4 linked regions of the Notamacropus eugenii genome follow. The protein of the gene in region 3 interacts with the protein of the main gene of each other region in a pairwise test. Links are inferred from orthologs where the notes say so. Each region holds a gene or a part of one and is shown on either strand. Other genes may lie near its edges. The genes, in order: HOMER3, SEC24C, MOS and MTMR9.

What was found.
Region 1: the proteins of MOS (region 3) and HOMER3 interact in binary tests that used the Homo sapiens proteins (3 or more experiments, as listed by UniProt). The two-hybrid records come from large-scale screens. The link is inferred for Notamacropus eugenii from reciprocal best matches to the Homo sapiens genes MOS and HOMER3.
Region 2: the proteins of MOS (region 3) and SEC24C interact in binary tests that used the Homo sapiens proteins (3 or more experiments, as listed by UniProt). The two-hybrid records come from large-scale screens. The link is inferred for Notamacropus eugenii from reciprocal best matches to the Homo sapiens genes MOS and SEC24C.
Region 4: the proteins of MOS (region 3) and MTMR9 interact in binary tests that used the Homo sapiens proteins (3 or more experiments, as listed by UniProt). The link is inferred for Notamacropus eugenii from reciprocal best matches to the Homo sapiens genes MOS and MTMR9.

What each region holds. Positions count from the first base shown.
Region 1 is NC_092875.1:66,413,322-66,421,069, reverse strand, and holds the start of HOMER3 (homer protein homolog 3), read right to left. Parts: upstream 3,022-7,748; 5' UTR 2,877-3,021; intron 1,570-2,876; exon of another isoform or gene 1,439-1,569; intron 874-1,438; 5' UTR 807-873; intron 1-806. UniProt on the Homo sapiens protein: Postsynaptic density scaffolding protein. Binds and cross-links cytoplasmic regions of GRM1, GRM5, ITPR1, DNM3, RYR1, RYR2, SHANK1 and SHANK3.
Region 2 is NC_092872.1:236,685,426-236,692,893, forward strand, and holds the start of SEC24C (protein transport protein Sec24C), read right to left. Parts: upstream 3,014-7,468; 5' UTR 2,924-3,013; intron 2,741-2,923; exon of another isoform or gene 2,619-2,740; intron 2,568-2,618; exon of another isoform or gene 1,970-2,567; intron 1,860-1,969; 5' UTR 1,832-1,859; coding exon 1,663-1,831; intron 1-1,662. Other genes in the region: SYNPO2L (synaptopodin 2-like protein), read left to right, coding at 4,578-4,733. UniProt on the Homo sapiens protein: Component of the coat protein complex II (COPII) which promotes the formation of transport vesicles from the endoplasmic reticulum (ER).
Region 3 is NC_092875.1:274,297,457-274,303,658, forward strand, and holds MOS (proto-oncogene serine/threonine-protein kinase mos), read right to left. Parts: upstream 2,120-6,202; 5' UTR 1,862-2,119; coding exon 740-1,861; 3' UTR 511-739; downstream 1-510.
Region 4 is NC_092872.1:610,944,297-610,952,050, forward strand, and holds the start of MTMR9 (myotubularin-related protein 9), read left to right. Parts: upstream 1-4,751; 5' UTR 4,752-4,896; coding exon 4,897-5,078; intron 5,079-5,229; exon of another isoform or gene 5,230-5,593; intron 5,594-7,754. UniProt on the Homo sapiens protein: Acts as an adapter for myotubularin-related phosphatases. Increases lipid phosphatase MTMR6 catalytic activity, specifically towards phosphatidylinositol 3,5-bisphosphate and MTMR6 binding affinity for phosphorylated phosphatidylinositols.

The sequences.
Region 1 (7,748 bases), about 210 Mb from region 3:
AGTAGATTTTGGGGTCAGTATCTCAATTTGAAAGCTGCCTCTGCTACTAATTACTAATACGACCTTGAATGAGCCCCCAAGAGGCCTCAGTTCCTTATTCTGTAAGTTTAGATAGTTGGGCTGGATGACGCTGTTGTCACTCCCTAAAACGTAAGGCCTCCAACCCAGGTCCTGGAGACCAAGGAGACTGCCCCAGGACAAAGTTCATCCTGCCCCCTACACCACATCCCCCCCCCCACAACACTGACTAACACTTGGTTGTTCATGGATCCTCCTTCAGCCAACCAACACACAAGCCCCACAGGCTGGCAGGGGAGGGAGGAAAAGTGAGGCAGAGCCTAGGGGTGGTCCATGAAGTATTCCTCCCTTCCCCTAACTACAGGGCAGGGATGGAGAGAGACCAAAAGCTCTGAGGGCCCTGTGGGGCCTAGTGAAGCAGTAAAGACAGCTAGCTGGCCTAATCACTTTCATTCAACACTTATAAAACCCTTCCTTATACCTCAGACATTCTACAATGCTGATGGGGCCCTTGAACCTGTACTATAGGTTTTATAGGTCCTGAGCAGAAAGATACCACAGAAACTCCCTCATTCAACCCCCTCATTTTATGGAGAAGGAAATAGACCCCTGAGATATTAAGCAGTTGGTCAAGGTCACACAGGTGATAAGGCATATACAAAGAACTCAGTCCCGGGTCCTGATCTTAAATCCAGCATTCTCCTTATTACCAGTTTTCCTGCCGGAACCCAGTTTGGTAATACCACCTCCCCCACCCCCAGCACACACATATACACATGCAAACACACCCACAAACCTGCCGCCAGGGTCTAGGCAGGAGAGAGAGGGGCTTAAATTGGCTAAAGCCTGTGGGTCCTGTGAAGAGAATGATCCCAAGGGAGTCTGGGGTATTTCAGCCTGATTGAGGATTCCCTTCACCCAAACCAGACCCTCTTTTCCCTTCCCTGCCTTCCCTCCCTCCTTGCAGCTGTGCTGGTCACATGGGCACAGCCTGAAACCGGACCCCCTTCCGCCCCCACCTTGGGGGGCAGCCAACCCCCATCCTTGTATGTTGCCACCTCCAACCCCCACCCCTTCCTGCTTTCTGCTTCCTGTCAAGGTTTCCCAGAAGGAAATACTGAACTGAGACCCCTGTCTATCCTACTCCCCCTTCCTTCAGGCTCCCTGGGAGCTTTCCCACCCCTGGTGTTCCCAAATGAATCACAAAGCCAGGCTCTTCCCCATCTGGGCTCCCCATCTCCCCTCTCCCCCACCAGTGCTCCTGGCAGGGCTGGTGAAGTTGGCTGCTGAGCAGGGTGAGGGGAGCTATCCCAAAGGGCAGCAAGCCCCATCCCCCTCTCCCAGCTGGCTTGAATCCACTCCCAGGACTCTCTTTGGCTGTTCAGTTGTTTTGAAAAAGTTCTTTGGGGTCAAAAGTCAGATCAGCTGAACTGGGACAGAAAAAACACATATAGAAATCAAGAGACCTAGCTGCTAGCTCTAGCTCTTCCAGTCACTTGTTGTACGGCTCTGGGTGAGTTCCTTCCTTTCTCTGGGCCTCAGTTTCCCTTTCTGTAAAATCAGGGTGTTGGATGAGAGTCCCTTCCAGATCAGGCATTCTGCAGTTTGATACCCTCAACCACAAAGAAGGTAGGCAAGGGGGAGATCTAGGGGTCTACTCATTCCAAACTCCTAGAGTTTTGACACAATGTACCAGGGGGTCAGGGAGCTAAAATCCCCCAAGAGCCCACAACCCAGTATGGAAAGAGAGTTCATGCTGGGAGATCTGATTACCCTGGGCTGGGGTCAAGCTCACAGCTTCCAGGAGCCCCTGGAGTGAAACCCTTTTTCTCAAGGCTCAGGGTCATAAGGTCCTAGATATTGGGGCACCCAGTTTCCTCCTCTCCTGACACCTGGGCTGGGCACAGAGGGGGTGGTGCCCACAGTGGAGTTGGCAAGTTGAGGCATACAACTCGCCCTGGGCAGAGGCGTTCTCAAAGATGGGGGAGGGAAGGCTGCTTCTCGTAGTCCCCCCACCCTGAATCGCCCCCAATCCAACGTGCCCAGGCTTAGGACGAGAAAGTGTCTCAGAACAGGGGGCCTCATGCTGCTTTGGTTCCCCCTTTGGCTTCTTACTTCCCCTACTGTAACGGGGACTCCCCCTTGCTTCCTAAGGTTTTCCTCTAATCTTTAGCCATAGAACTGGGGACCCTTATTCAAACTGCCCCTCCATGTTCTCCCTTATCTTTTAATCCTGGGACTGGGAACTCTTCTTCTTCCCGAGGCCCCCCTATCTTCTCTCTTATCTGCAACCCCGTGGCTGGGAACCCTGCCTCTCTCACCTTCTTCTTCACCTCCAGCTCTGTAGCTGGGGACTTTGACTCTGCCTGGGTCCCCCCTATTTTCTTCCTCATCTCCCCCGTGACTAGGGATCCTTACTCTGGGTCCCCCTATCTTCTTCCTCATTTTTAATCCCGGGGCTGGGAGCCTTTACTGTTCCCAAGGCACCCCCCCTCCCGCGGTCTTCTCCTTCATCTCCAGCCCTGGAGCTAGAGACCTTGACTCTGCCAGGGTCCCTCACCTCCCTCATCTCCAGCCTCGAAGCTAGATAAGGAGGATGGGAGGGGGCGCCTCTCCCACCTCGGTCTCCCCAAGCCTCTCCCTGCTCCCCAGCTCCCAGGAAGGGCTGCGCCCCCTCTGTATCCGCGCCGGGCTGGGCTGAGAAGAGCCAGGCTGGTCCCTGGGGCAGCCAATGCCCCGCGCTCCCCACCCCCCACCCCCGCGCGCCTCCAGACCCGGGCTGCCCCCGGCGCCCCAGCCCGCGGCACGAAGGCGCAAACTTTGGGGAACGCCGAGGGTACCCCAGTAGGCTGGCTCACCCGCTAGCTGCCCCTGCCCGTGCTGCCCGGACCTCCCGCTGGCCAGGCTCCCGTGCGCTCCCGGCACCGCGTCGTTCCAACTTCGGGCCGGGGCTCCGAGCGCGCTGCGCCCCCGGCGGGCGGCCTCAGCGCCGCGCCCTGCCCCGCGCCGCCGCCGCCTCCGCCGCCGCCGCCGCCCCGCAGTCTTTGTCTTCCCGGAGCGCCCGCCCCAGCCCCAGCTCCAGCCCCAGCCCCAGCTCCAGCTCCCCAACGCCTCCGCCTCCGCCCGCGGCCGCCAGCCCCATAGCGGTCCTGGCCCCGCGCTGCCCCCCCGACTTTATCTGTCTGCTCTCGGGCCCGCTCAGCGGCGCCACCTGCAGGACACCCGAGCCCCGCCCCGTGGGGACCGGTCACCTCGTGGTCAAGGCTGGCTCCGCGTGGCGCGGCGTAGCGGGCAGCCAGGGGCGCCGCGAGGGCGAGGAGGAGGTGCGGAGGCGGCGCCTCCCGGCTCCAGCACATGCCACAAAGACAGCCACAGCGATACATTGTATCGAGAGAGCCGCGGGGAAACACTTACGCAGTGCCGGCCACATAGTAGGCGCGTCGTGTTTACTGGCTGACTGAGAAAGAGACCCTGCCCCGAACCCTTCAGTCCCAACTTTAAAGCTCCTACTGGGTGCTTGGAGCTCAGGAGGCTACTGAACATGTGGGTGTCCTAGGGTACCCCTCAGCTGTAGACAGTGCCATGCCCGCTTTTCAAAGCGCTCCCTCTCTCTCTCTCTCTCTCTCTCTCTCTCTCTCTCTCTCTCTCTCTCTCCTCTCTCTCCTCTCTTTCTCTCCTCTCTCTCCTCTCTTTCTCTTTCTCTCTCTCCTCACACTTCAGTGTCACCGGAGGCCCACGAACCCCCTCTCTCCTTTATCTAGGCTTTACCAGGACACAGAATTGAAACTCCACCCTCCGGCCCTTAATCGCACTGAATCCTGTGTCCCTTCTCAGCTTCCTGTATGTCAGTATCAACTCCCTTACCCAGACTGCCAGTTCCCTGGGAAAGGGCCCAGAAGAGCTTTGGCTTTGGAGTTGGAGGACCTCAATTCAAATTCCTTATATTCCTGATGCTTTCTGGGTATCAGGTTCCCCCTCTGTAAAATGTTCCTATCATATTAGAAGGTCTCCTCAGATCCCTTGTAGCTCACTCTTAACAATTTTTCCAACTTCCTTTCCTCCACAGTATGGCCACTCTGGGCTGGGCTGGTTGGGGCCTCTCTGACTGTATTTTGGAGGTCCCCTTCCCTCCCCCCAAGATCCTGTGCCTTTCCTCCTTCCTGCTGCTGCTTAATGCTTTCCTTGCTCCTTTAATTTTTAACAAATTTATTTAACAACTGTGACATACAAGTGGAGGCCCTGCCCTCTTGGGCTCACAGCCTCAGAGGGAGGAGAAACCTAATACGAGAGATAAAGTGGACTGCAAGTTAAGGAGGAGTGGTCTGCTGGAAAGAGAGTTGGGTTCAGAAGCAGAACTGGGCAGGCCCTGTGGAGGCCACTGAGTGACTGTGGGCAAGTCATTTACCTTCTCTGAACCCCCATTAGTGAGGGTCGGGGTGTCTACCTTCCATATCCCAGATGAGATGATGTATAGAAAGCTCACTGAAAACCCTGAAGGGCTACAGCTCTTAGGTTAGAAGTAATTTATTAGGACTTTGGCCCAATAAAGAGGAGGGTTCCCTAGTGGGTTGTAATTGGGCCCCCTGCCCCCACACCCCTTCAGACTCATTTCTGTTTTTTCTGCTCTCCCAGAACTACAATGACTTCTTTTCTCCTTATAGATTATTAATACCATTCTTTTTTTCCTGACAAGCAAAATGCTTCGGGGAAAAGAGCTGCAGAAGGGACTCATAAGGAAGGTTTATAGACTTATGGTGTACTGCAAAGCATAACGGACTTGAGTCTACAGGATCTGGATTCAAATCCTGACTGCCACTTACTGCTTCTGTCATCTTAGACAAGTCACTTCAGGGTTGGACTAGGTCCCTTCCCTAGGGAAGGCCTGATCACAATCCCTTGGTGAGGTCACTGTGGACTAAGGAGACCCTAAGGAGACCCCTTCTGGGTGCTAGTTTTCCTCTTCTGTAAAATGAGGGGACAGTCTGTTCCACCTCTGTCACAGGGTTGACACGGGCAGATTAAGCATGACAAAGGCTGTAGATTTGAGCTATGTTGTGTGCCCTGGAAAATGCTAGCCACTATCTCTAAGCAAAAATTCTACTGAGCAGGGCCTCTCATCACTTTTTAATGGGTTTTGATGAAATCTGGTCCGTGGGCAGAGGTTACAGAGATATGTGATTGCATTGAGAGAGGCCCACGGTTCACAGAAGCCTCTAATTTTAATTTGTTTACAAGGGGTATTTTTAATTCTTGACAGTGTGGCTTTTGGGGAAGATCATTTTAAATTTGCCCTCCATGTTTGCCTTCCCTGGTCTCCGTATGACACATTGCTGAAATCAGGTTCTTGTCCTGATTCCATCTGTAAGGGACTTGAGTAAATCAGTGGCCTTCTCTGGCCCTCAGCTTTCCCTTCTGTGAAACAAGCACATTCAATAAAGGATCTCCAAGGTCCTTTTGGGTTCTGCTGCTAATATAATTACTTTAAGATATCTGGTCTGATCTAAGCCTTTCTCCCTCTCCCTACACACCTGATCTATTGCTAACTTTTGTCTAGTCTACTCACACAAGACATCTCCCATCTGGCCTCTCCACTCAGTCACTGCCCTGCTTCAGACACTCATCACCTCTCACCAACAGTATGCCAAAATCTGTCTTCTGTGTTCTTTGTTCAAGGATGCCATCCAACTCTGACTTACAGTAATCAAAAACACTGTCACAAGTCTGTGAGACATGAATTACAACTGGAAAATATGTCAACTCAAAAAGACAAGCTCAGGGGACCCCTTAATACCCATTACAACCAAGGCCCAATCCTGCCCCCAAATCCCATCCTTAAAAACTCTTCACTTGATCCTTCCATCCCCTCCAGCAATCACCTATTCAAGGGCCAGGACCCTGTGACCCTGATGAAACATGTGGCCCTCTAGGTCCTCAAGTGAGGCCCTTTGACTAAATCCAAACTTCATGAACTTCCTTTTATTAAGGGGATTTGCTCTGTGAAGTCTGGATACAAAGGGCCTCACTTGAAGACCTAGAGAACCACATGTGACCCCCAGGCTGAAGTTTCCCCAGCCTTGGCCTTTGATCCCTTTCAAAGCCAAACTCCTATAAAGTTGTGCCCACTCCTTTGTTGGCCCTTTGGGATCTGGTTTATAACATGTCGATGTAAACTGCTCTCTCCAAAGTCACTTAATGATCACTTATTTGTTGAATTCGATAGTCTTTCCTCAAGCCTCACCCTTGTCTCCCTTCTCCCAGCCAGTGACTCTACTGACCACCGTTTCCTCTTTGGGGATCCTTTTCCTACTACCTCTTGCCCCTCCACTACTCCTCATTCCCATCCGCCCCACCCCTCCCATGGCGGTGTCCTCTGTCTCTGCACAGCTCCCGGGGGTCTGCTCTCATCTTTATGTCAAAGAATCCGAGGTCTTTATATCCAGAATTATTCTTACTCTTAAGTATCACCAAAAGTGGAACAGCCAGATCCAGCTGGATCAGAGAATCAGAGAATCTGCACCAGAAGGGCCTTCAGAGGCTCTGTGGTCCAACCCCCTCACTTTACGGAAGAAGAAACCCACTCAGAGAGGTTGTGCTTTGTGCTTTGTCACACAGCTCTGAGTGCCAGAGGTGAGAATGAGGCTAGGTCTTCCTAACTCCCAGCCCAGAACTCACTAGCATTCCAAACTCGACATGTCCAAAAGGGAACTCATCATCTCTCCTCCCGCCTCTGCCTGATTTACCCCCTTCCTTCCTGACCGTCACCCAGGTTCACATCCTCAGTCTTCTCCCTGGCCTCTCCACATCCACTTGTTAAGTTTTGTGCAGTCTACTCACACAAGCCACCGGCCTCTCCATGCAAGCCGCCATCACCTCTCACCTGGACTGTGCCCAAAGCCTCCTGACTCTTTGCTCCCAGGCTCTTTCCTCGCCAGACGGTCCATTCCCGCCAGCAGCCACGTGGTGATTCATTCAGCATAGGTAAGACTAGGTCACTCCTAGTTTGGGGACTTCCGATTGCCTAGAGCATTAAATACAAAGTGCTCTGATTGGCTCTTAAAATACTGCCCAATCTGCCCCCATCTGCCTGATTGGGCTTCTTGGACGTGACATGCCATGTCTCATCCACAAACGTTTGCACGAACCACCCACCCTGCCCTCCTCACCTCTGCCTCAGTCAGTCCTTAGCTTCCTTTTAACTTTGCTCAGGGGCCACCACCTCCTCCAGGAAGCCTGCGCTAATCTCCTCTCCACTGCTATTGCTTTCCCCTGCCCCCACCCTGGGAAATTACTTTGGATATTTTTTTAATTTAATTTTATTGCATTAATCAATAAACAAATTATTTATTAAGAGCCTACTATGTGCCTGGCACTGTAGGTTCCAAGGCTATTAAAAAAAAGGGTGAAATGAAATAATGTTCCACACTCTCAAGGAATTTATATTCTATGTACATGGTCCTCCTGCCCCACCCCCCACCTGCCAGAGTATAAATTCCTTCATGGCAGGGACCTTAGTATTGCTTTTGTATTTTTATTAGGTATGAAGGAAGAAGGAAGGAGGAAAGGGAGAGAGGAAGGAAGCAAGGAAAGAAGGAGGGAAGGAAGGAAGGAAGGAAGGAAGGAAGGAAGGAAGGAAGGAAGGAAGGAAGGAAGGAAAAGAATCAGGAAGGAAGAAAGGAATAAAGGAGGAAGGAAGGGAGGGAGGGAGGGAGGAAGAAAGGAAGAAGAGAAAA
Region 2 (7,468 bases), on a different chromosome or scaffold from region 3:
CTGGAACTTCAGCTCTAACACATACTGTGTGACTGCACAAACTGCTTAAATTCTCCAGGCCTCAGTTTCCAACTCTATCAAATGAAGAATTTGGACTAGATGAACCCTTAGACCCTTCCAGATCTAAATCTATGATCCTATGAATCCATTTCTATCTCTAAGAAAAGAAATAACCTTCCCTCTACACCCTTAAGAAGTTCTAAGAGCAGCTCCACCAGTCACTCCCCCTTTCCCCATAAAGAAACTCCATATTCATTTCTTCTACCACTTCTGTTCTGCCTTCACAGTTAGCATCACAGAATTTAAGGGATGGTTAGGGCCTTGGAGATCATCTAATCTAATCTGCTCAAATAATAAAGAAACAATACTCAGTGAAATTAAAATGACTTGCCTAAGGTCATATATAGATTATTTGTAACCATCAGAGCTAGAGGTGAAACTCAAGTCTCCTTAATCCAGATCAGAATATTATTCCACAAAACTAGCCCAGTTTCTTTTGTTCTGCTCTCAGTGGAGGTAGAGACACCAGAAGAGACAAGATAAACCAGAAGCATCATGACATATTTAAAAGAACCTAGAAGTCAAGACCTGAGGGCTGGTTCCAGTGGTTCTATTTACTAGCGTTGAGACCAAATCATTTTAAACACTGTAAGCCTCATTTTTCTCATCTGGAAAACAGGGACACTTATTTTACCTACTTCACAGGGTTATCAGGAAAGCACTGGTGATATATTAGGAATTAGAAGCCTCAGGTGGACTCTGTCATGACCAAAGTCCCAAACCAGAACAGAGCAGGGACATATTACAAATCTGAGAACTTGTTTTTCACCTCAAGTCAGTCTCTACATTGCCAACTTTGAATTCCAATACTTTGTTCTCATTTTTCACATTTCTTCCACCAGTCCTCAGTGGTCTCACCTCATTGCCATTAAAAAAACTGAGTTTGGCACACACCAAAGATGTATTCTTTTCTCTAAAATGTTCCTCTGAGTTACTTGAAATAAGATACAGAATCCCATTTGCTCACACAATCAGTGCTACACTTCCTGAAGGAGAATTCTAATAAAACATGAACCCTATACTGAATGTCAGAGTGATTTTTCAAAGTCCTCCAAACACACATGGTACCCAAAAGACCAAGGTGCCTGAAATAAGGCTGTGACAGAAGCAAATGATCTCAGCAGCAATTTATAAATGGTCCACAAACTCAGATGTGTAAACTCTATCCTTTTTATCAAACATCCAGTTCCTCCAGTCCTTATACCTAGTCAATCCTGAAGAACCTAACCCAATCACCAGGAACAGTTCAGGAATTCTCAAGGTAGACCAAAATAGGACACAGAACAACAAGGCTCCTACCACCCAGTCTTGTAAAGCAACTGGGTATCTAGGTAGCCATGCCCCTTCCCCGGCTAGTTCTTGCCAGTGTGCCCAGACTGGAGGGAAGTCCAAGGAAATTAGAATACTACCTCATAGCGATACCTGTAAGCAGTGAATTATCAATACATACAACATGGAAGCTACACACCCATTAAATGTCACAAAGGTGAACAAGAACCAGAAATAGGAAAGAGGAGATGCTAAGTGGCACACATAAAGAAAGCTCCTCAATACGATGCTGCCCCCACCACCTCATAACTTACAAGTAACTCAAACACATACCTGGGGGAGGCAGTTGATGATAGCCTGGCATTGGACCATTGTAAGCTCCATAAGGACTAGGGGGGACCATAGGTCCTGGCTGCCCACCGTAGCTGGACTGATATCCAGCGTAGCCAGGCTGAGGCTGTCCATACGGCACCCCAGGGGGAGCTGGCTGATTGATATTCATCCTGAGTGCATCCCCAACCTGGAATCACCTGCAGAGCAGGAAAAAAGGGGGAAAGGGGATAGGCAAGATTCAGAAACTAGTTTTCCAAAGTTGCATCATATGGAAGTGACACTGGGCCCAAAGCAGGGCTGAGACTACCTAGATGTCTGCTCTGGAACAAAGTCCTCTGTGAGTCTCTGCTCTGAGTCAGGATACGGTTGGAGCCCCTACCCTGTCTCTCACTGTGCGAACAGTTCGCAGTAACCCCAATTTCCAAGTTGTCTGGTACTTCTCCAGCCTGGCTCACGCTGACACAATCAGTTCAGAAAGACTACTTACATCCACAATACAATTCAAGTAGATTCCTCTTCACCCCCCCCCAACCCAACCAGACTCATGATGCTTGAGAGATGATCACTTTGTCTCTGCGTTGCCAGTGCCCAGCGCAGAGCAAGGCTAAATAACGTCCAACGAACAACCCCACAGCATCTGCCCTGATGGTTTAGCAGCAGCAAGCCTAATCGCCGCCCCGCCTCCAACCCTCCTGCTCCGGGCAAGGGTCAGCAGGAGCGCTCCGGCCACCCCTGCGGCACGGGCTGTCAGCAGGAGAAAAGGGGAGGTCGGAGGCGGAGAGAGACGAGCCACACGCCAGGGGGGAGCCGGGTCCCACTCCCGAGGGGGCGGGGCGGCTTCCCCTGGACTCGGAAGGCAGAGAAAGAACCCGGAGGACCCAAGCGGCCTGACGGTGGGTCCGCAGCCGACTGCCGGGGCTAAAGGGTGGGAGGGTGGGCAGGCTGGATCGGATCACCTCTTCCGGTCAAAGAGAACTCCGGGCTGGGTGACCCCCACGCTGCAGACTCGGGGGACCAAAGGAGGCCGGCCCAGGTGGGGCACTCGGCCCGGGCTGAGGCAAAGGGAGTGAAGGCCGGTGGTGATGGGGTCCCGGCCCAGTACACTCCCGCCCGGCCGCAGCCCCGCCCCCGGGCTCCTCCCTTCCTCTGCGCACAGGGCTCGCTCGGGAAGGGCCCCCAGGACGTGGAGTCTGACTCGTCACTCCCCAGCCTCCTCTCGGCCCCCCTGTCCTCGACCTCTCCCCCGTCTCGAGGGCCTCACCCGGCTCCGGCTCCAGCGCCTGTCCCGGCTGCGCTCCCGGCGTCGCGACTCTCAGGCCCCACTTCCGGTTCCGAGCCGGCCGTCCTGTCGCCGCCGGAAGTGCCTCCCCCGCGCACGGAGGCCTCGGCCTCCGGAGCTGCCACGTCCTCACTAGGACGAGGCGAACGGACCCGGATGTTGCGCCTGCGCGGACACCGCCGCTGCCGCCTCCCTGTCATGGCGGCGGCGGAGGAAGCTTTGCTGTTTCTGACGTGTTTCCGCCTCTTGCGATGATGTTGTGTCAGGGCCGTGACATCCCGCCCCTTCCCCTAGCACCGCCCCCTCCACGGACCTAAAGTCTAAGCTTCGCCGGCGGTAGACTCGGCAGCTGAGATGGACGCCCCGTTAGCGCTCCTGTGACGTCTTCATGACCTCTCACCCCCCCACCCCCGAACCCAGGGAGACTCTGGCGCCGGGGACTTCAGCGTGGAGGCCCGACCCCCATACCCCGCGGAGGCTTTCTTTGGCCGAGCCCAAGCCTACGCGGCAGCGCCCCCTGTTGGTTGCTTGGATGCGTGCAGAAACACGTTGTATGTAGAATAGAAGCTCTTCGAGGACAGGCACCCCTCCCTTTCCTAACCACATCCCAGAGACCTAGTACGCTTATGGGCACATAGAAAGAGCCCGTAGATTAGCTAACTACGGACTCTCCTGTCAGGGAATTCCTATCTGAAATGGGATGTACTGTCCCCGATTCTGAAGAACTCATGTTTTGGGGACGCGCTGCTGGTGCTGCTGATGGCATCCGTGACCCTGATAATAAGGAAAACAAGAGAAACTGCGACTACCAGCTACAAAGACTAACAAGACGAGACCTGGTGGCTACAGTTACACATCAGAGAAACTTGCCGTCTCTCGTGAGCTGGCGTAGCCCAAACCCCTCAACGTATCCCTGAGAACTAAACCAGCAAACTGTCCTGAAACTGGAGCATTATCCCAAATCAGACTCTTGTTCACTAGTGCTAAAACATGGCCCATACAATCTGAGAAGAAGTTTTTGATAGCTATAAATCACACTCAGTCTTCATGCATAATCTCCAAACTGCATGGAATAAAAAGCTTTCAAAATACAGAGCCGAAGATGCTTTCAGCAAGTCTACAGAAGGATACATTGTAATTACTTTTATTCCATTACAGAAAGAAACAATTTTACACTGAACATAAAAAGAAAATGACAGGATAGTGACTTGTTCCAGGACAGTTTCTAGTTGAACTCCACTGACAAAGATAAAAAATATTTCTCAGGAATAATAATAATTTCTGTCTTATCTCCATAAAAAAAAGATGAGAACATATAATAAGTACGAGCAATATTTTTTATGTCCCACAGTATTCTCCCAGTGGTGCTGCAAGACACTGGGCGTATAATCGCCAAAGAATCAAAATTGTAGGAGATTCAAAGTACAATGTACAGAGACATGATTTTGGATACCACGTGTTAAGTGAGGACTAAAGCCTAGGACTAGGGAGATGTTAATGCTGTCATACCCTGCCCAGATTTCTACTAATTTGGAGTATTGTGTTGAGTTCTAGAAAGCACAATACAAGAATGACCTTGTCAAAACGAAGAGTAACCAAATAAACACAATAAAGATCCTCTAGCTTTAGAGACAATATGATCAGTTGGAAGAATCAGTTGGAATATATAGCCTGGAGAAGAAAAACTGGTGGAGACATCACCATTGTCATCATCATAACATATATAGTATGCAGTGTTTTAAGGTTTGCAAGCACTGAACTATTTCATTTGAGGCTCCAACACCTCTTTGAGGTAAGTGCTATTATGGTCCCCATTTTACAGATGAGGAAACTGGAGTTTAAGCAACTTGCCCAAGTTGACACAGCTGGGTATATGTCTGAGCTCAGATTTTACATCCAATATTCTTAACTCCCAGCACAGTGTTTTTTTACTTAGCTGCCATGTTATTTGTCTTCATGTATTTGAAGGACTGTATGTGGGAGAGGGATTTACTGTTCTACTTTGCCACAGAGGACAGATGTAGGAGCAGTAGACAGAAGTTACAAAGCAGATTTAAGTTCTCTGTAAAAAATATTTTCCTAATGTTTGGAGTTATCCAAAATGAGGTAGAATTGGTTGCCTCAGGAGGTAGTGAATTCTTTCTTACTAGAGGTTTTAAAAAGACTAGGTGAACCCTTCTTGATAGTGTAGAGAGGATTTCTGTACAAATGTAAGTTGGAGTAGGTAGTATCTGAGGTGCCTTCTAACTTGGAGCATCTGTAATTTTGTAGTGGCTTGCAGAGGTAGGTTATAGCAGAAGGCTTCTAGCACAGTGGATAGCTCCTCCATAGAAGATAATTCTAATAGTTGATACTCATATAGCACTTTTAAATTTTACAAAGAACTATATATAGGTTTTATCTTCATTATAACCCTATGGGTGGGAGGTACTTTAGGTATTATTTTTCCCATCTTAAAGGTGAGGAAACTGACTTAAAACATTAGTGAATTGCTTATTACATATCTAGTAAGTTAAAGTTGAAGATCAATCCCAGGTTCTGTCTTACTCTGGATGTAATGGTATTTCTACTATACAACATGAATTTCATTTTGCAGGAATTTAAAAGAGATCAGGAACAAAAATCGTGGATGATTTAAAGTGTGCATGGGTTGTGATCTGCACTGGTGGAGAGAATCTCTTATCACTGATCCATTAAAGAAACACATTTTTATAACCCTTTACAATTTACAAGCACTTTCCTCACAACAACCTTGTGAGGTAGGTAATATAAATGCTGTTGTTGTTTCATTTTTCCAAATAAGTGAACTGAGGCCCATGAAACATAGCTAGCATAAGACAAATAGATAATATAAATATATAAAAAAAATTTAGCAGCCTAATGTAAAATTCCTTGACTATTGATTATAAGAACACTTTAGCCAATCTTCTTTAATGGAAACTCTCCTTTTCTGGGGACCCCAAGCATTGAAGGGACAGCTGGACAGTAGCTACATCAAGCAAACAAGCATTTATTTAGTGACTATTGTGTGCCTAGTTTCAGAGGAGGGGTTGGGAGAATAGCTCAAGATTATGTGATATATTTATTTCATACGTATATGTGTATGTATGTGCATGCATATGTGTGTGTTTGTGTACATATATGCATATAGACACATAAACCCACGCACACACACTAAGTATTTTGGAGGTAAGAGAGTTACCGACAAGTTTGGGAATCAGGAAGGAACTCTTAAAGACACTTAAACTGAACTTCAAAAAAGGCTACAAGGTCCAAGAAGAGCATTTTAGGCATGGTCCATAGACCTGGAGGTGGATTTGGGATGTCATGTAGGAAAAACAGTATGTAGACCCTTTTAGCTGGAGTATGAGTACCTGGAAAAATAGATTGGAACTAGATTATGAAGGGATCTAAATGTCAAATACTCAAGTTTACATTTTATCATAAAAGCAGTGGGGAGCCAAAGAAATTTCTTGAATAAAGAAATGACAGGTCAGACCTGTACTTTAGGAATGGCATCACTTTGGCAGCCATGTGAAGTCTACATTGGAGAAAGAGACTTAATACGTAGAATGACTCCAAATCATTTACAAGCAAAGCCTCAAAGAAAAACACAAGCTTGGGCACAAACTCAACTAGAATTCGTGGAAGAGATGAAGCAAGAGTTTGGGGTTTTTTTAAAAGAGTTACAATGATTTTATGAATGAAATAAGAGTTCAAGAAAAAAATTGGAAAAGAACTTAGAGCTATGAAAATCTATCTTACACTACAGAAAAGCAGGGGAGAAAGGGATAAGAGGGGTGAGGGGAGGATGATAAGAGGGAGGGCAAATGGGAGGAGGGAGTAATTAGAAGTAAACACTTTTGGGGAAGGACAAGATCAAAAGAGAGAATAGAATAAATGGGGGGCAGGATAGGATAGGGGGAAATATAGTTAGTGTTTCACAACATGACTTTTATGGAAGTCTTTTGCATAACTACATATGTATAACCTATATTGAATTGCTTGTCTTCTCGGTGGGGATAGGTGGGGAGGGAGGAAGGGAGAGAAGTTGGAACTCAAAGTTTTCAAAACAAGTATTAAAAATTGTTTTTACATGCAACTGGAAAATAAGAAATACAGGTAATGAGGTATAGAAATCTGTCTTGCCCTACAAGAAAATGGAGGAGATGGGAATAAGGGAAGGGATGGGTAAAAAAAAAAAAGAACTTAGAGCTATGAAAAACTTTGAAAGAGAAATAATAACTTAGTGCAAGAGGTACAGAATGTTTCCCAAGTAATAGACTCCCTGAAAATTAGAATGGATCGAGTAGAAATTAATGACTCATCATAACAAGAAATATCAAAACAAAGTAAAAAAAAAAAGACTGAAAAATAGAAGGAAGTCTAAGATATCTCATAATAAAAACAACTAACCTAGAAAACATATCTAAGAGAGATAATTTAATAATCAGTGGACTACTTGAAAACTATCACTAACAAAGAAAAAGAGCTGAGACTTTATAGTTCAAGAAAGTATAAAAGAAA
Region 3 (6,202 bases):
CTTAGCACAGTGCCTGGCACATCGCAAATGCTGTGTAAATGTTGGCTATTAACTATTTCTTAGATGATAAATTTCTCAGAAGTTTAAAACATGAGACTAATAGTTAGAAATTAGAAAACAAATTCTAGTCTCAGTTTTACCAAATAAGAATGTGACTCAAGAAAAGTCACTCAGCTCTGTGCCTTGATTTTCTCAGGTCAAACATTTTTTAAGATACCTGTTCCAGTCTACTGTGGGAAAAAGAACATCTATCAGAAACTGACCCAGTGTGGATTTAATGGATAAGGCATAAGCGCAAAATGAAGTACTACATGAATATATGCATAATGCATTTCTTCAAAAACAGCCTGCATTTGAGTTGGCTGCGGAATGTCTGCAACTGGGTTCCATCTCATAAAAGCAAATTTTGTCAGCTTCACAACTTGTAAGTTTGTATGTATTCAATCCTAAAGAGCTTTGAAACTAAAGCGGCAGCAGAAAGCCAGTTCAAAATGACATAATGCTCAGAGGTTAGTTTCTAATTAGAAGTAGGTTTTAATTACAGAACTTGGAACTCTGTAGTAAATCTCATTTAAATGAGACCCACAAAAGTTCACGTCACTTTATTTTCTAAAATTTCTTGCAATCAAGAAATACATTGAAAAAAACACCAAACATTTCCAACTCTCCACATGGAAGCAAGTGAAGAGAAAGAGAAAACACAGAAATAAGCAGACGCACAGAAAAGCTTTTTGTTGACTTAACTTCTAGAATTCAAGGCTGCCCAGTAAGCGTGCAAGGAATTAAGATCACCCAGGAGCAAGTCTGCGCTGGGTCTGACCAGCGTGTCAGCGGTCCAGCAGCATCGGATAATGTGTTCCAGTCTTTGGCCAGGTAGCGAGTCAGTGAAGACAGAGGATGTGAGTGGTGGCCGGAGGTTATAGGCCACCACCGCATACAGTATGTATTGGTGGTCACCCGAATAGGGCACTTCCTTTGTGACCATTTGCCAGAGCGTGATGGCAAAAGAATAGATGTCTGCTTTGCCGGTCACTGCCTCTCCTTTGAGAATCTCCGGGGCGCGGTGTGTGTATGTGCCGCCCAGGTGGCAGTGGCGGGCGCTCAAGCCCGGCAGATTTTCTATCCTCTGCGAACACCCAAAGTCCCCAATTTTGCAGACTTCTCGCTCCCCGATCAAAATGTTGGCTGGCTTGAGATCCAGGTGGACGATGCCTTGAGAGTGGAGAAAGAGCAGGCCGTTGACCACGTCCAAGGAATACTGGAGGCATCTCCCCACGTCCAGGGGCTCCGGGTCGTCTGGTACAGAGCTGGCTCCGTAGATGGCGTCGTGCAGGGTCGTGTGGCCACCGTACTCCATGATGATGGTGCCCACGCTGTTGTAGCCCGCAGGAGTGCAAGTGCTGGCGGCCACGACGCGCACCACATTCTTGTGGCGCAGCCTGGCCACGTTGAGCTCGGCCCAGAAGCTCTGTCTGGAAGCTAGCTGGTTCTTACTGCTCCTCTTCACTTGCTTTATCGCCACGGTGAGGCCCCGGTAGGTGCCCTTATAGACAGAGCCAAACCCCCCGGTCCCCAGCTTCTGCAGGAAGCGTATCTGCTCCCAGTCAATGGAGCACCAGGCCAGCCTCTGGGGCAGCCGCCGAGCCCTTGGGGAGGGGGTGCCCTCTAAAAAGAGCTTCCCTCCGCTCCCCGGGAGCTCCAGGGGGCTGCTGCAGGGCCGCAAGTCCACCGAGGGAGAGAACTCTCTGGGAAAGAAGCGGGTCAGGGGAACTGGGGAAGGCATCGGGCACTCGAGGCTGGGGACCAGCGCGTCTGGATGCAGAAAGAGAGGAAAAAAGAATGGCAGCTCACTCAGATCCATCACTGCCTCTTTTATCCTCTTCCTTCATCTCCCCTCTCCCACCCCTCCAACCCCCCCAAAATAAGCTGCATCTGTTACTGATGGGATTTGATCAGTCTCTGAATGAGGGCAAAACCAATCACTTTCAGATTAAAGCATTGATCTCAAACGCGTAACACAAGTTCTATTTTAAAAAAATCCTGAGTTCACCACCTAAACAATGGCATATGCCCTACAGCTCACCTTATAACGTGTTCCCTTTTCTACTATGCCCCTCATTAAAAGGAAGTTTTTCCCCCAAGTGTCATCAGCTGAAATCCATTCTTAGACTACATAGACCACAACAATGAAATGAAATTATTTCACACTTTTCAGGCTAAAGTGATTGTCAGCGTTTGTCTCCAGCTGCGTTAAATAACTGCCAGCAGTTACTGGCAGAAATAGTTGAAATAAGAACAGCACACATTTGTTTAACTTATTAAAGGAACAATTAGGTGCAATATTCAGCAGTAAGGAATTGCAATGTTAATGTAATTGATATAAACAAAAGCAGTGACACCCATAAGTCAAGGCTCTCTCCCTTACGTATCAGGAAAAAGTTAAGGCTTTGACATTCCATTCAGCATTGAGAGGAAATTAGCAATACTTCTTAGCAACATATAGAAGGAATTCCTTACAATCCTTCTAACCTACCATAGCAATTCAGCCCACCCAGTGAGTTCACTAGCAAGAGATTCTAGACAAATGAGTTACAGAAGTCTTGTAGTAAAATTGGCAACAAAAGGGGAAAGAATAAAGAATCAAATCATAGTCATAGCCTCAAATAGTGCTAAATATACAGTAGAAAGCAGAAGAAAACTTAAGTTTAAAAAAGTCTGCATTATCTCTGATGCTTATGTAGAGCAAATGCATGAAGTACAATACAAGGTATTAGAAACCATTCATTTACACAATTCTCTCACACATAAAACAAGTAATTAAGTTATTGTTACTGAATAATTGGAAAATTTTTTATGCCTGCTTTATGAAGAAAGCACCAAGTTCAGTATTATCTCAGTTTTGGAAAACATAACTTATGGAGATAATCAGAGCCTAGATTTGGAACCAAAACTCCACTTTCTGTTTCTGAGTTAGGTCACTTGGCCAGCCTGCTTGGAGTATTTATGTGTATTGTAAGGGCACAAGTTTATGGTGAGCATTTATATTTCCATGTCTGTGATGTATTTGAATTCATCTTTCATGAAGCCTTCTTTCATCCCCCTAGATGGGAGAATAATCCCTTATTTTCCTGACCTCTTCTAGAACTTTATTTATACCTATCCCAATCCTAAATAATTTTACTTTGGATTATAGTTGTGTGTGTGTGTTTCCACTTTGTGGTAAAGTCCCAAGGGTGGGCTCAGGGTCTCTTGCCTTATATTACTGAAGAGCCTAACATAGTAGTAGTGCATAGTCAACATATCAAGGATCTGTGATTTCATGGTGTAAAAAATAGGAGCCCCTCATTAAATGGTTGTTGAACTGAATAAGAATAAACACCTTGGTTGGGCAGTTGATAGAATGCCAGGCATGGAATTAGGAAGGCTCAACTTTCTGAATTCAAATCTGGCCTCACATACTTAATAGCTGTGTGACTTTGGGAAAGTCCTTTAACCCTGTTTGCCTCAGTTTCCTCAACAGTAAAATGAGCTGGAGAAAGATGGTAAATGCTCCAGTATCTTTGTCAAGAAAACCTCAAATGGGGTTACAAGGAGTCAGACACAACTAACTTGGGAGTCCTCCCAGCTCTATAGTGTGATTTCTGTGCTTGAGTGTGCTCCTAACTTATTATGTGGATTTAGACAAATCACAATACTTCCATGGGTCTTAAACTCACCACTTATTCAAAACAATGGTGATAATTCAATACAGTAAAAATCTAATTGATATAAGGAGATTTCACCCAAATTAGTAAAATCATAGATTATTTAAAAAGAAATGCAGTTATTTTTTTTCAAATACCACACATATTATAAAGTATAAGTGCATGCCAATAAATAGTATTTGCTTATTTGAAAAATTGGTTTACCTTAGGTCTCTGCTTTGTAATAGTAATAACAATTTGTGTTTGTATATCATTTTAAGTTGTGCAAAGCATTTTCTTGAGAAGCAGCATAGGATAGAAAGCTGGCCACAAGGGTTGTTTTGTGGGTGTAAGCAAATCACTTCCTCCTTTGATGCCCCAGGGAACTTTCTAAGACCTCCAACTCACAGAGACAGTACTGGTCTGCAATTAGTAAAGGAAGTTTTTCACTGGGACATCCTTATACAGATAAAATTGCAGGTCCAATTAAAACAAAATACTACATGACACAGGTATAACATGGTAATATATTATTGTCCCCATGGAGAAATGGAGACTCAAAAATTAAGTATATTCTTTGCTCAACCTAACACAGGTCAGTAAGTATCTAAGTTAAGTACTTAAACCACTATTCTGCCTTCCTCACTGGCAGTTCTAACTAAGGACACTTTTCAAACGTTTTACTCAATTAAAAAAAGAAGGCTCCACAGTGGAATCAGAATGGAGAAGTTGGGTGTGACTAGGAGGAGCTTCACTAAAGAATTTTTAAAATTTGTTATTGAGTTCTCAGGAGTATTGTGAACATTAGCAGATTAACAGATACGAAATGCTTTAAAATCCTTGGTGTAATGCTCCCTTCCCACCCAAAAACCATCCACCTCTACTTAGTTTAAAGTAGTGCCTGGCTGAAAGGCAGGTCAGGAATTGTCATGAATTTTAGATGGTTCATCCATTCAACAAATATTGATTAAGAATCTATCATAAACAAGGTGCAAAAGTGGATAAAGAACTAACCTGAGCCTCAAAGATGGGTATTCAAGTACAGCCTCTGAAAAGTACTGCCTCTGTGACACCTGAGTAGTCAATTCATTTAGCTTCCCAGAGTTCTAGGCAAAAGTCTCAACTTGTAAGTTTCAGAACAGGCACCAAAGTGCATTGGTAGAGGGGGTTTCCTCACTGTTAGGTTCCCTATAACAGGGAAATCACAGGCACATTCCCCCTCCTTATATGAAAGATGTATTAAATATTGTAGAGGAAACAAACAAAAAAAGTATAAACAATCCTTGCCTTTGTCTTTGAGCTTACAGTTTAGTTTGGAAAATGAGAATATATGTGTGTATACATATGTACACATATATGTGTGTATATGTATGTATCTATGCATGTAAATATGTGTATATATGTGTGTGGGTTTATATGTATATATACATATATATATGTATGTATATATTTGCTGTTGATGAGCTGTTTGTTTCGGTCCTGCTCAATTTTCTGTGACCCCATTGGGGGTTTTCTTGGCAAAGATGCTGGAGTGGTTTGCCATTTCCTTCGGCTCATTTCACAGATGAGGAACTGAAGCAGACAGGAGTAAGAGACTTGCCCAGGGTCATAGAGCATCTAGGTGTCTGATACAGGATTTGAATTTACATCATCCTGACTCCAGGCCCGGCACTCCATCCACTGCACCTCCTAGCTGCCCCTTATAATTACAAAGATATTACAGAGTAGTATACGCACAGCAAAGCAGAGATCATCAAAAAGGCAGCCATTCCACAACACTTGTTATGTCCAGAACCAGATTAAAATGTAATTAGGGACTATTTAGCAAAATTAATAAAGTCAATCAAACGTAGATAACATTAATATGTGGCTTTCTAAGTAAACACACAACAGACAGGGATCCTTTGTGCCTTCAGTAGCCTCATTTCTATTTAAGTTTAACTACTGGTTTAGTAGAAGGAGACTTGGGATTTGGGTCCCAATTCTAATACTTATTTCCAGGGTCACTAGGCAAATCGATTAACTTCTCCAAATCATTTTTTTATCTCTAAAATGGGAATGTTCACTACTTACCTGAGAGGATAGTTCTGAGGGAAAATGTAAAAAAAAAATTGAACTGTGAGCTGGCATTATTTTTTAAAGCTGAGGTAGTTGGGAAGGCTTGAGAGGAGGTAGGTTTCCAGTGATGGGAAGCACATTTTAAGAGGAACATTAACAACCTGAAATAGGAAAGCAACTAACAAGGTGAAGGGACTAGAAGCCATACATACATAGATTGGTTAAAAAAAGCACTAATGAGGGGAAGAGTCTGTTCAGGGATAGGGCTACAGCTAACTGTAACTAAACTTTATGTTCCCATCAGGGTGGGGACAGGTTTCTAAAAGTTACTCCACTGAAAGAAATGACAGCAGTGTTCCTTCAAGGCTTACGACACTTGAAATGTTCCTAGATTGTGGCCCCACTTAAAGGATATGAGGGGGGGTGGCTTCTTTGGAAATGTCATTGATAGATAAAATCTA
Region 4 (7,754 bases), on a different chromosome or scaffold from region 3:
TCTCTGGCACTACAACTCCCCCATTCCCTCATGTGGGCTGATCTTCCATTGTATAGACCTTGGACTAGATTTCTCTTCATCATAGCCCTCTGAATCACTTTACCTTGTGCAGTTTGCCAAGCTGTGCCTGTCGTTTCAGGGCAAGGATAGTCAACAGAAAAGGGCTGACTGCCCGGCCAGCCATGGGCTGAGCTGCCACCTACTGTCCATAGAGTATATGAATGTAAATTGTTATTAATACTCCCCGTAGACCTGGACCCCAAGTGTTCATTTGCTTGGCCTCAGTCTATAGTAGATATAATTCTCTTGAATTAAGTACAGCAACATCTTGGCAAGCTGGATGGAAAGCATAATGTTGTTAATTCTAGCCTAACAAAGACCAGATTGTAAGCTCCATGACAACAGAACAGAATAGTACTCACATTTGTTGCTTAATAAATGTTTGTCGACTTGAATTCAATTCTCCTTTGTATGCTATTGTCATCATCATAATCATCATCCCTCACTTTGGACAAGCTTTCAGTTTAAAAAAAATCACAAAATTAAAAAGCACTACAGAAAGTTTCTCTGATCTGAATATTATAATGATGATGCTAGCCTATTACATTTGTGTGACATTTTATTGTTACAAAGCACATTGCAGATGTCATCTGATTTAATCCTCAATACCATTAGGTAAGTAAGATATATTGTGACTCCTTTATAGATGAGGCAACTGGAGCTCAGAGAGAGATCAAGTGATTTGCCAAATGTCATATTGCTAAGGCAGGTTTTCTTACTCCTTTCAAGTTGAATGTTCTTTCTATGATGCTTCCTTCTCACAATAGAGCATCTATCTACCTATTGTACTTACTCCTCTATTTTCCCTTCTTAGAGTCTCTTCTCCCAAACACTCCTTGTTTTGAAAACAACTAAAAAAAAAATCTGTTGTTCCATCCCTCCCATTGTTTTCTTCTTCTCTGAAACAGCAAGCTAGGGTACTGATTATTTGAGGCCTCTAAGAATCAATTTCATAGCTAGAGATAAAATGCTCTATAGAAACAAAACCTAAAAGGTAATTTTAAAATTAATTATTTAACCTACCTGTTTATTTTTACAGAATGAATGTGCCTTGTCCTAGATAAAGCACTAGCTTGGGTTAGAGAACAGGAGAACAAGCAAGAGTTTAGCATTGTTTGGCATGCAGCAAACTATGGCAATTATACCTATGTAGCCAGTAGGAGGTCCTTTGGGCACATTTTACAGTCCTTCAGGGAAATCCTGGAGCAGTACTCTGGGGCTACCTGGAACACAAAATTTTAAGTCAACAATAAACCAAGTATTTATTAAGAACTTTCCATGAGTCAGCCACTGTAATAAATGATGACACGAAAATAGTTCCTCCCCTGGAGACGTTTACATTCCAAAGGAGGAGACATTATATAAACAACTATGTACATTCAGGATATGTATATAAGGTAAATTGGAGGTGAAGACGCTAGCAGTGAGGGAGAACAGCACAGAAAAAGTGTCTTGTACAAGGTCAGAGATGAGCTGAGATTTGAGGGAAGCCATGGGAGGCAAAAGGAAGAGATAGGAAGGGAGAGCCTTAATTCCAAACAAAACAAAGCAAAGCACTTTGTTCTTTGGGTTCAGGTACTTAAGAGTACACATATATGTATAAAACCCATAATTATAGAATATACGATTTCTTCTGATAAGTAACACAGGCAGACCTTAACACAGGGTACAATGTTTAATAAGCAATGATGCCCTATAACCTATAATCACTGGTTCAGCTATTCAACAAAATGATAAAATCCATTAGCCAACCTCAGTCTTGCTGAGTCTCTCCCTGACACCTCTGAGAGTAATGCAATCACTCTGAAGTTTGAATCCTTTGAAGATCGGATATCTTGCCTCTCCAGGTAACAGGCTCCTGAAAGTATCCTTAGAAAAGAGCTTTTCCAACCCCCTTCAACTTTACCATTGAGGAAAATGAAACTCAGAGAGATTAACTAATTCACCCAAGGTCCCCCAGAATCAGAGCTAGAACTCCATCCTAGCTCTCCAGATTCTAAGTTCAAAATGCTCCCATGAATCATGATAACAAAGTCACTTCCACATGAGGCCCATTTTAGGTGAGACCAAACAGATATGTTCTTCTCCAGAGAGAAACCAGCAAAAATGTTTCTACTTGTTTAAATTTGGCCAGAAGGGAAAAAGCAGTAAAAAGGCAAAAAAATGTATATGTGTTTGTGATAGGGATTATCAACCAGATTTGAGGCTGCCAGGAACTAGCAGATGGCTGCCTGAACTGAGGAAGACTGCCTAGCTCCCATATATCTTTTCTAGCAAAAACCTGAAATTTGCACCAAACTGAAAAAATGATTATAAAATCTAATGAGAAACTACAATAAGTGACTTATTCTCTCAAAACTATACAAATAGCCATCCAGAAACTCATAGGTAATAGGAAAGGGGAACATTAGCAAAACCAGTACCAGCAGAGGCAAACAAGCCGGTGGCCTTCCAGTGTTGCCAGTGAAAGTACTGTGTGCAAAGCCAGCAAAAAAAGAGGAAACCCTCCCAAGAAAGCTTTGAGTTGTCAGAAAGCCCATGGAGGGTCAGAAAAGAGCAGGAACCTTGAAAGTCATCAGGCGTGGCAGTGATGGGTATGATACTGATACTCAGACCTCCATGGACCCCTAGCATTGTATTCTGCTTTTCCAAATTGGGTCCAAAAGATCCAGAATCCAAAAGATCTCTGAAATCTAAAGATGGGGGGGGGGGGGGGGGAGGAGGCTCTAAGCCCAGGTGGTAGAGGACAGCACAGGATCCAGGGAACATAAGGGAACAACAAACAGAGCCTACAACCTCACCCAAAAGCAGAAGGGAAGAGAGGATGACTCTTGCACAAAGCTCTAATTCAAGTACAGAAGTTGGACAGATGAATGAACCAAAAAGGACACAGATCAAAGAAGAGAGAGATAGAATATAAAAAATTACTATAGATCCAGAGATGCTCTCCTATCAAACTTGTAAAGAGAAAGTCACAACACAAAGTATGCAAATAAAGACTCAAAGAGAAAAATGAATTTTCCAAAATGATAATGCAAATATCTAAAAGAAAGAAAGACATACAAGTAAAATAAAAAGGTCTGAAGGAAAGAATTGAAAAGAAAATAAATAACTTAAAAAAGAAAATGGTAAACCTTCTCCAAAAAATGGACTCCCTGAAAACTAGGATTGACCAATGGACCAAACAGAAATCAATGACTCCACAAAACAGCAAAAAATATTAGAACAAAATCAAAAAGTTGGGGGGAAAAAGAAGAAAATGTAAAGTATCTGATATTTTTCAAGTGATTTGAAAAACAACCGACTTGGGAAATAGGTCAAGAAAAAGAATTTAAGAATTATTTGACTCTTTGAAAATCATTTCTTTTTAAAAGCTAGATCCTGTATTTAAAGAAATGAAAACCACTCAGAGCTCTTGGAAGCAGGGGGCAAAATAAAGTTAGAAAGAATCCTTAAAGTTATCCTAAAAAAAAAAAAGTTCCAGAACTTTGGCAATGTTGTTGCCAAAAAAAATAGTTGCAAGCATCCAGAAAGAAATACTTGTACCAAGGAAAGGTAAGCAGAATTGTACAAGACCTGGCAACAAGAAGGAATAGTGGGATACAGCATTCTAAAAGACAAAAGAGATGGGGTCACAACAGAGAATAATTTACCCAGCAAAGCTGAACATACTCCTGGAGGAGAGTGGGGAGGGATGGGGCTTCATTGGACTCGATTTTCAACCATTTTTGATGAAAAAACCAGAAGTAGAAATTGTGAAATACAAACAAAAGAATCCAGAGTAACCTAGAAAGGCAATTTAATTTGAGCAACTGGAAGAGGACGTGCGGAATTCATGACACTTTTTCAAATCAAGAATAAAAAAAAAGCACGCGAATGACATTGACAAGGCTCACGTGCAACCTCTTTAATACGAAGGGCAGGGGTGGGGGAGGGGTGGGAAGAAGCATGTATTAAACGCCTACTGTTTTCATTTTTTTTTTTTTTTTATCCAACCCTGCGGGGTGGTTACTCTTAGGATTCTCATTTTACGGTTGGGAAAATGAGAGTGAAGCTCTTTGCCCAGGGTCTCCCTGCTAGCTTTGGAACTCAGGTCTCGCCGAACCCAGGTCCGGCGCACTTAATGCCAGCTCCTGATGCCCCCTACAGGAAGTTATTCTCTTTTTCACTGTACCGCATCAGTCCTCTCTGGGCTTCAGTTTCTAGGGTTGGAGCAGACGACATTTAAGCCCTCCAATCCGCAGGCGCATGTTTCAATCACGCGCGATACGACCGTTGGCGTCACCGCCCGAGCTTCGCACCGTGGGCGGCCTCAAGTGGGCGGCCCCGTTATTCCGGGGCTGCTGAGGCTCAGGGGAGTCAGGGTGGCAGGGACAAGACTTCCCACTTACTTCCTCCCATCGGGCATGAGATGGGTAGGAATTTAACTCTGAGGGCACCGTTTCCGGTCACGAGACTCACAAACCTGGTTTCACAACTTCCGCCCGGAGTCGACGGAGGGCTCTGAGCGTCAACTACTTCCTCCCGGAGTCGACCGAGGGTGCTGGGCGTCAGCTACTTCCGCCCGGAGTGGACAGCGGCCAGGAGATGTGCGGGCCTTGAGATCCCGGCTCCTTCCCAGCCCCCCGGAAGAGGACCCTCCCCTCCCCCGGGTCCCCTCAGACGGGGTTGCCGGGGGAAGCAAGCTGGTGGCCGCTTGAGACCCCGGCTTGAGCTTGGTGCGGGAGGTGGGACCCTCCGGACCAGGCCCGCGGGGCCGGCCGCCGGGGGCTTGAGAAAGCAGGGGAGAGAGGACGGAGCAGGCCCCGCCGCGCCTGCCCCGGGCCCCGGGCCGAGATGGAGTTCGCGGAGCTGATCAAGACTCCGCGGGTGGACAACGTGGTGCTGCACCGGCCCTTCTACCCGGCCGTGGAAGGCACGCTGTGCCTGACGGGCCATCACCTGATCCTGTCCTCCCGGCAGGATAACACCGAGGAGCTGTGGCTGCTCCACTCCAACATCGACTCCATCGAGAAGCGGTGAGCCCAGCTCGGAACGACGGCCCCTGCGGGCCTCGCTTGCCTCGTCCGTTACCAGGGTCAGGGGCGGGGCAGGCTGGTCCGGGCGGCCCTTTGTGAGCCCCCCACACTCCTGCCCGGGTCTATTGTCCCTCTCTTTGTATTCCCTGGTTTAACCCGGGGCTGAGCCCTGAGTCGGCGTTTAGTAAGAGTTCCTTAATGTGTTTTAATCTCCAGCCTGGAACAGACGGAGAATGCTTAAGAAACGAGGGAGTAGTTTTCCCCCTGTCTCCAAAGCAGCTTCTGCCTTCCTGAAGACCCTCCTGAGGATCTGGATTGTAGGAAAGGGGGGAAGCAGGAGTAGTGGCCCAAGAGGGGAGCCTCGTCCTAGGCCACCTGCTGTCCCAGCCATCCGTTACTCCGAGGCATAGCTTCAAGTGGTTCTTTGTTAACTTGAATCGTTTGGGATCATACACCAGGTGTCTTTACCTGTTGTAAAATTGAGATAATAATGCTTCCTCGCATACATGTCTACGGTAAGGTAGGATCTGTACACTGCTTTTGACAGCTGAGTGAGACTGGAGCTTTGGCTCTTTCGGTTCTAAGACCTGTCTGAGCCATCCTCTGTCTCTTGTGTTGGGTTATCTTGCTCATCCTACCACTTGACTAGCCTTTTATGCCCCCAAGGCGTAATGTTTATATTTTTAGTTTTATAGCTTTAAATTTCCACCTGGATAGCTAGTTGATATTAACTATGCCTACCACTTCCCTTTTTTGTCCTGGATCCTCTTTTCTTTTATCTTGGTCAGCTTATCAACTCCAGGAGGTTCAATTATCCTTTCTAGCTTGACCAGTCTCCAGTATACAACTAGCTCTAACTCCTTCATTGGACTTCAGTCTCACATCAGCAACTCCCTACTGGACATTTGGGACTGGATAATCCATAGACATCTCAAACTCAGCCAAAACATTATCATTATTTTTCCTCCTTCCCATCCTCCAGTCTTTAATGAACTTTCTCATTTCTCTCAATGACACCACCACTCTTCCGGTCATCCCAGTTTAAAATCTGAGACATCCTTGACCCCTCACTGTGCCTTCCTCCATTTATCCAGTTAGGTGCCAATTCTTATTTCCATCTCCACAACCTTTCACATCTGTTCCCTTCTCTCTGTTACTAGTTCAGGCCCTATATCTTCTGGATTCTTGGTAGCCTCCTGATCAGTTTCTCCTTTCTTCAGTCTTTCCCCTCTTCAAACTCAATAGAAATTGATTGATCTAGAAAACCATAAGTGAACATTGTTTATGTTGTATTTTTATTTCCCAATTTTTCCAATTCCCAATCCCAACATTTCCCAATTACATTTTAATCTGGTTCACTCATTTGATACCTCTGCTCTACACAGCCACTGAAATACTATTCCTAAAGCACTTTGTCACTTCCCTTTCCTAAACTCCAGAGGCTCTTTTTTCTCTGTAGGATCAGTAAAGTCCTTTGGCTTTTAACTTTGTATCCTGGCTGCCTTTTCTAGACCTGTGGTATCTAACTACTCTGCACATACCATCTACAGTTATTCCGAATTGCTTTCTTGTTCTTTACACAGGGCAATCCATTTCCCATCTTCTAGCCTTTGCTCACTTTGTTTGTCACTCTATCATTAGGTGAGATAATATGGTCTTTATAGTCAACTACTTCAGCTTTCACTGAAAGAAATAGGTCTTCCCTAATAGGTTCTGCCCTGGGCAGAATTGTGAAATAGAGACAATTTAGGTCCAAGTCACCTCTCACTTTTGCAGTCTTCAGCCTAGCTGTCTTTAAAATTGTCCCCTCTTGGACTCAGAAATTAGACTTGTAGAATGTTGGAGGTGAGAAGGACCCCAACTCCTTCATTTTGCAGATGAGGAAACTGAAGCTCAGAGAAAGGAAGCAGTGTGCACAACTAATACTGACTAGCTGTCTGGGAGGAAATTTAAATGTTTGACAGCAGCCTGATGTGTCCCACATACAGGGAACACTTAGGTTTTAAACCAGGATTCTTAGAAAGGCGGTGCCTTAGACAAATATCTAATGGGGAAATTTCTGGTGGGAGAACTTAGGAAGGCCTCTTTTCCTTCAGATTAGTAAAGTGGTTACTCAGTAGACCTTGTTTCCCAATATAAATGGTTGTAACTTTTGTCCCTGGCCTTTTTGGTTCTTCACCTCAAATATTTATCACTTGCCCCAAAATTGAGTGCCTGTGTGTCTGTGTGTTAGGGCTAGGCACTGTGGTGTTTGCAAAGAAGAGATATAAAGACTTTCTACTTTTTCTGCACCCACACAAGCTCTTCAGCTTATATTTCAGTAGAGGAGACAATGTACACAACTCACACAGCCTTATTTCAATCCTCCCTTTCTCTTTACTGTCATGGCTATTCTTATTACTTTGCCTCTCTGAATGCCTTTAGTTTTTCTTCGACCAGCCTTCCATTCAGAAAGAAATAAAAAAGAATCATAAGCCCCAAACCATCACAATGGAAACATTTTCCCCCATGTCCCTTGTTATTTTTTACATTTGATAAGAGGTCTAACTTTATGTCTGTCAGATTCTTTTATCATGGTTGTATTTGAATTCCATTAATTTGCCTAAGTGACATTGTCGTTTCCCTTTTTTTGTTTTGCTCTAGATCTGTGATTTCATCTGTGTGGAAACACCTTCC